Linked DNA regions of Xenopus tropicalis. The protein of the gene in region 2 purifies or fractionates together with the protein of the main gene of each other region. This does not show direct contact. Links are inferred from orthologs where the notes say so. Each region holds a gene or a part of one and is shown on either strand. Other genes may lie near its edges.

Region 1 (3,493 bases), on a different chromosome or scaffold from region 2:
GATCATCCTCATGATATCTTGATTTCTCCTTATCTCTTTGTCGCCTCTCTCTGTCGTATTCCTTATCCCTGTAGTCCTTTTCACGATAGTCTTTGTCTCTGTATTCCTTATCTCTGTAATCTTTGTCTCTGTATTCCTTATCGCGATAGTCTTTGTCTCTGTAGTCCTTATCCCTATAATCTTTCTCTCTATAATCTTTTTCCCGGTAGTCTTTATCTCTGTAATCTTTATCCCTGTAATCCTTTACATATTCCACTTCAACCCTAAAATGAAAAGGCAGGTAACATTTTAAAAGATTTACTGCAATGATATATTCTTATTTAATCTAAATCCCCAAAAATGTTATTGGAGATCCCAGCAAAGCCCTGACATATATACATACATACTTAAGCCTATGGCACACAGATAGATTTGTTGCCTGTTGGGACTACCAAATAGCAATTTACAGCCCTTATTTTGCATCCTCAAGGAACTTTTTTCATGCTTGTGTGGCTCGCCAACACTTTTTTACATCTAAGTTTGCCTCGCAAGTTAAAAAACATTGGGGATCCCTGCTCTAGATTATATACTAAAGTAGCTTCCACTTTACTAGCTGGTCTTGGCAACAAGTTCCTGGCCAGAGGATGTTATTTTTTATGACTGCCATTTCTTAGTGCATCTTTTGCAGTAGCATTCAACCTCCCAGTGAAAGGATACAAGCACAAAACAATTGGATCTTAATAAAAAAGTACAAACAGAATGCTAAGTTACAGGCCAGTCTTGGAACTACATTCACAATAGATTTCTGTATTATAGGGATGTATAGCACAATAAATAGCAGATTTATAAAGAAGTAAAGATTAAAAGGGAGGCACTGTAGAACTACTCCTCCTGTAAAGAAAAAAAATTACCCAAATTTTACTTAAGCAAAAGAATCCTAAATACTTTTTTGTTTTCTCCTCCCCGACTTCACCATCCGATTTCTTTCCTGTAGCGCATCGGTCTTCCTTAATATTCTCTTTTTCAAATTTTCTTGTCTTAAACTTTTTGTCTGTATCTCTCTCTTCTTCTTTCTCAGGTTTTTTAAGAAGCTGTACCAAATAAAAATGGGTTTCATGTACTTGAGAATGTGCAAAATTACTGCATAAGTTTAATTAAGAAACCATTTCTGATTATGTAACTGTTTTCTGCACAAGGAACAGTAGCCACTCAAGTGCTATTCATGTACAGGTATGGGATCCCTTATCTGGAAGCCCATTATCCAGAAAGCTCTAAATTACGGAAAGCCCATCCCTATTTTAATCAAATAATTCAGAATTTCACAACTGATTTCCTTTTTCTCTGTAGTAATAAAGCAGTACAAGCAAAAATATCCTATTGGGTTTAATTAATGTTTTATTGATTTTTTAGTAGACTTAAGGTATGAAGATCCAAACTATTCCTTATCCGGAACACCCTAGGTCCTGAGCATTCTGGATAACGGGTCCTATACCTGTACTTTGTTACTTGGCAAAGTATGGGAAAATGTTATATCATATTGGGCATATCAAGCCACCTTCATATGACAAGATCCAAGGACAGCTCTTAGTAACACTTTTTTATATAGGACCCCCCTTAAGCCAGTGTTCTCAAAATGAGAGAGAAATTCACTTTTAAGTCTTGCTTACAAATGTCATCAAGGCTTGAGTGGATTCTTTGTTTCCCAAAGAAGTAATTTGAAATGTCATGTTCTACACAGTGACTTCATTGCTACAATTAATTTCAATTATTTTGGTTACAGCGTTTATATGCCAAATTTCAAAGTTTTGTCAGCAGATACCTATAAGCCTAAAAGTTTTATTTTTTTACTATTTTGAGGGCAGTAATACCTTAATTTTTGGCTCATCCTTTGACTGTTCCAGCTCTTTCTCTGAAGGTTTTTCATATTTCTTTTGCTTTTCTGCTTCTTTCTTTTTTCTTCTTTCATCCTCTTTCCACTTTCTCCTTTCTTCTTCTCGCAGTCTTTTTCGTTCCAGTTCTCGCCTTCTCCTTTCTTCACGTTTTTCATCTCTAAGTCTCTGGAAGAAGACAGCAGTATGGGGAAAAAAGGCATTAAAACCATCAGCCACCATAATACCAATTTCTAACAAGTCACTTACAACATGGCATCCTTAACAAAATCTCACTGCACTACATGCCTCTAAGCCTAAATTTTGTTTTAATACTGTAAGCTCAAACTTCCATGCTCCTTCAGTGGCGGTGAACCCAAGCAAGCATTATTTTATGCATTATTGCTTGTAAACTATGCCTTTAATTTGGTGATGTTAATTCTCTTTCTATTCAAAAATGTATGTATGCTCCTAGACCAAAGTATGGTCTGGTCAGGTATAGTCCACAAGTACTGCAGATACAGTAAAGTAACAAAAAGTGATTTAATGGAAAACAAGATAAATCAAAGGATAAGCAAAGTACTTTGAGATACAAGAATGTTTACATAGTTCTAAGTGAGAGCCTGGTGAGCTGAAGCACATGAAACAAGTTAAAGTTGCATTTAATACCTAGATATAAATTACTAAGTCAGGATGTCTACACAAACATGGGATAAATACAGGGCCGGAACAAGGATCAAAGAGGGAAACTAGTGAGGGAGACTATGGTAATGGTCTGGGAGAACAAAAATTGTGGGTGAATGATGATGGTCAGGTGCCTTGTGCATCCTTACACTATAGCTCTGCTCTGAGCACATTTATAGTTATTTATAGCTACAGCAAATAAAATCCCATAGAAAAGGTATACCTGTCTGTTTTTTAAGAAACTTAACAGAGGTGTAGTCTTCTTTGCTAGAAAAAAAAAAAGAAATATACATTTTCTATCAAGAATCGATATTTAAGGACGCAATTCAAAATGCAAAATACACAAAATTGGACACCAAACTACATACATGTCCATTCTTGTTTAGTTTTTGTAAGGTCAAGCTCAATGTTTCAAGTAATATTCAGAAGGATACATATTGAAAATAGGCCCAATTTGGTCAGAAACCAGGACTTCTAGGCTTGCACAATATATTGTCATTTTACCTATCATTTCTTTATTCTTTGCCTCTATTTCTTCTAGCAATGTCTCTGGAGTTGATGTTAGTTTCTCTTCATCCAAAGTGTAAGAGTCAAGAAACTTTTTGTATTCTGGATCTTAACATACACAAAAGGGAAAATAAAACCTTATTAGATCAGCAGATATTAAAACATATTTTAAAACAACCACAGCACAGCAGAATATTTAAGTTCATTGGCAATTTTTGGATGAACTGACAACATAATATTGTTATTCCCACAAATTAACAATTTTTTGTTTTCCCTTAGGAGTTATACCCAAATTGGACCCAACACAGTGCGCATGTATATTGGTGTAATCAAATAATTTAATAATTTGCCAGAAGCTAAAAACTCTTGCTCTGTGAGCTTACAACTTTATTATTTATGCTGCTATGTATTACTTATGTTTGTATTTAGTCTCTCTCCTATTCATATTCCAGTAT
Region 2 (3,756 bases):
CTTGATGGACTCTGGACTTTTTAAAACCCTATGTAACTGTATAAAATATACGTTATACTAATTTTCCCTTGCCTTCAAATGTCAATCCACTTTACGGTATTTGTTACAGATGGATGATCAGAGATACTGTGCTATTATTGTGACCACTTTTAATAAAGATTTAAAAAAAAAAAAACACCCTCATTTGTATAGTAAATTTGTTGTATGTTGTGAACATGGCATAGTGTTTTAAGCATCATTTCCAAAAAGCATAGTAGAAGCTACTAGCAATAGTAATATTTCTTGGCAAACTCATTAAAGAAGCACAAATTGTAACATGTAAAGATGCTTCCCTTTATTTTTTAGGAGGTAGAAATATTTGTCCTTGGTACTACGCGCCCATTTAACATCCTTTTAGAATCTGCCGCTAATTTCTCTTCCTACCAATTATGAGCCCGCACCCACCTTACACACCCCTTTTCAACCCAGGCTTTACCTGGTGAGAGATTGAGAAGGGACAGAACCTACCACCATAACAGACATCAGAGATGACTGACTAGAGTTGGAAGAGGACCACGATTATTTTTCACAAAATACCTTAAAGGAACAGTAACACCAAAAAATGAAAGAGCTTTAAAGTAATAAAAATGTAATGCACTGTTGCCCTGCCCTGGTAAAACTGGTGTGTTTGCTACAGTAACACTACTATAATTTATATAAATAAGCTGCTGTGTAGCCCCGGGGGCAGCCATTCAAGCTGGAAAAAAGGAGAAAAGGCACAGGTTACATAGCAGATAACAGATAAGTTCTGTAGAATACAATAGTGCTTTATCTGTTATCTGCTATGTGCCTTTTCTCCTTTGAATGGCTGCCTCCATGGCTACATAGCAGCTTATTTATATAAACTATAGTAGACTTTCTGAAGTAAACACACAACTTTTACCAGTGCAGGGCAGCAGCACATTATATTTGAGTTACTTTTATACACTTTCATTTTTTGGTGTTACTGTTCCTTTAACAGCATACTTAGGGCATTACAGGAAAGTTTTGGGCCATGCTTGGTCCTCTTATGAGCTTGATAAAGGGCTAAACATTGCCTGAAACAATGCTGTCACTTCCCAAGTGCAATAAAAACATTTAATCTGAAGAATAATTAATTTGCTGCTTCAACTCAAGTCACTTGTGTACCAGTGGCCATTGGAGAACGTGCACTGATTTGAAGTACTAACCATTTGTTATTTGCTATCCATTTGAGATGCCATCAGAAGGGGCAAGTTCCAGAAACATTATTTCACCAGCAATAAGGTAAGTGTACAGTGTACAAATGAAAAGTTGTGTGAGTTGCTGATGTTCAAAGATACTCACACAATTTGTGACAGTCCATTTTCCAGCCCACAAGCAGCACTTTGATGTATCGGCTTTTATTTTGCGTCAATGCATTTCATTTCCATTAGTCCCTGACCCAGTGGAGCTCACAATCTGTTTCTATGTGAAAGACCTCCTAGGATAGAGAACCTGAAAGCCACTATTCCAACATGGAATAAGGGACTGAATAATGTGTCAAGTCAGCGAGGGATACAATGAGTTCGATTATCCATTTTGCTTCTATCGCATATGAACAGTACATAATGTACAACTTTTGCCCATTAGGTAGGGGTTGAACTACAATGTAAGAGTCGCGACCTAATGTAGAAAGTTGCGATTCAAACAAAGTTGAGAGTTAGCAATTTAACCACGAGTATAAATAACTATTTTTTAGCTTTCCAGCCCTGTAATACAACTACGTACACGGTAAATATAACGTAACATAGACAAAATCGGAAATCATCTGAAGTTTATAAAGAAAGCACATTTTGAGGGCACTCCATCCCGCTACCTTAATGCCGCCTGGCAATGGAAGCGGCAGCGACACACGCGAGGCCTGACAAGCACATTCCCGCCCCCGGAAGCTGCCATGTCTCTCACCTGCCCGTCCAGCTGGTTCTGGCTTTGCCCTTGTGTCTGTGTCTGGCTAGGCAGCGTGAAGTCTGTGAACTCAAACTCTGAGCCCTGAGTGTCGGCCCCGAGCAGCTCGGCCTCCTCCGTATCCAAGAAAGTGAGGGTCTGCGAGCTGGGCCCGTACGCCTCCACGCTCATTGTGACGGCCGAGGAAACAGGAAAGCGATTAATTTTTTAATCCCTACACAGCTTTAATGGAGTCCCCAAAGGCTTCGATGCCACCACGAAGCGCTTATCTAATAGACACGAAACACGGGTAAAAAGAAAAAAATATGAACTGCCTCCGACCGAGCTCCCTCCGTCCTGGATGACGTCAGTCGTAGCCGCACAGGAAGGAACGCGCTTGCGCGCCAACGTGACGTAATCACGTTGGGACGACAGCAGTAGCTATTAGTTGCTATTGACAACAGGGCTGGTGTCAGTTATTTGTTGTTCAATAGTAAGATTCTCGGGCAGTAAGACGCGCTATCAATATGTAATTGGGTTATATCGGAAGAGGGAACGGTAGTATAGACGGCAGAGGCAGAACTTGTTTTTAATCTGGGCGGAGACGAGTGACGTAACAGACACGTCGGCACCTACTAAGCTAGGCTGATATCAAAATGAGTTTAGCAATTAAACGAGCAAAGAGATGCAAATGTTAGCGCCAGCGGAAGAGATTGTCCTATATGCGTGCGATAGTACTTATTAGTTTTGTGTAGCGATACTAATTTTCTGCATTTATTTATCGGGGCCGGGCCCTGTTGGTTCCTGTCATGCAGCATAGGCATGATAATTATGGCGTCTTCAGTTCGGGAGAAAGAAACTTGAACACCTCCGACAGGGTTACCTGGTTTTGAACGAAATAAATTAGGTGTTTACTTGGAAAATCAGAAAACACCATATCTTCGTATGAGAGTTGTCTGACATTTGCAGGAATTGGTACAACTTAAAAAAAATCTAAAATGTGCAGTCCTTTCACTGATCTGAGCAAAAACTGCTGCAGTATTGAGTGAGCTTCCTTATGTAGAAATATGTTGGTACTAGTTATTCTTATTGCACTGGGGGATTCCCTGTGCCAAGAGGCGAATGCACATGTTGCAGATAGGTTTGTAGTGGCGCAATAGTTTCCTGCGAGAAGGCAGCCTTGTGAAATATTGGACTGTAGTCTTCACAATACAGTGGCTAATAAGTGATAATATATCATTGCAGGGGTGCTAAGCAGTGGGCATAATCAACTACAGAGGCCTGGCCACTAGGAATAATGGATTGTGCCATCTGTCCAGATGACCATAATGGAGGATGGAAAGTTGGTATCTTTACACAGTGACGAGAAAGGACTGTAGAGGGGTTGCCCAGTAGCAGCTGCTAAGCATTTGACTGTAGGAGACTGCCTTTGGGTAATGCGATCAGCAAGCCCCTAGTAAAATATATTTTTTATTTTACACATACAGTGGACTTTTTGTGCTTTATATCAGTTCATGCAGGAATAACTATAAATTGTTGTTTATTTCTGAGACTGAGCGGTCGATTTTTATCATTCCTTGATCATTTTACCCAGTAGTAAAAATAATTACTGCTCAATAAAAAAAAAACTCCAAGGGTTTTAGATTAAACACTTTTCTGTTCTGGAACCATTTATTCGTAAATTAAAAATAATTGTTTTCTTCCACCTGCCTTCCATGTGCAATTTCTAGGACTGCTTAAAATCAGTACATAGAAACACCATTAGTTGTGTGAAGTAACTTCCCAAAAGTAGTTTGGAGGTCCATGTTCTCAAGGTCCTGAAACACGGGAGGT

What was found. Proteins that work in one complex are often made in the same cells at the same time.
Region 1: the proteins of upf1 (region 2) and upf3b purify together in Homo sapiens (co-immunoprecipitation; 16 studies listed by BioGRID and IntAct, with this or other methods). This does not show direct contact. The link is inferred for Xenopus tropicalis from reciprocal best matches to the Homo sapiens genes UPF1 and UPF3B.

Annotation. Positions count from the first base shown.
Region 1 is NC_030684.2:59,729,588-59,733,080, reverse strand, and holds part of upf3b (regulator of nonsense transcripts 3B), read right to left. Parts: intron 3,147-3,493; coding exon 3,036-3,146; intron 2,799-3,035; coding exon 2,755-2,798; intron 2,037-2,754; coding exon 1,848-2,036; intron 1,071-1,847; coding exon 925-1,070; intron 264-924; coding exon 1-263. UniProt on the Homo sapiens protein: Involved in nonsense-mediated decay (NMD) of mRNAs containing premature stop codons by associating with the nuclear exon junction complex (EJC) and serving as link between the EJC core and NMD machinery.
Region 2 is NC_030677.2:98,881,708-98,885,463, forward strand, and holds the start of upf1 (regulator of nonsense transcripts 1), read right to left. Parts: upstream 2,372-3,756; 5' UTR 2,116-2,371; coding exon 1,945-2,115; intron 1-1,944. UniProt on the Homo sapiens protein: RNA-dependent helicase required for nonsense-mediated decay (NMD) of aberrant mRNAs containing premature stop codons and modulates the expression level of normal mRNAs.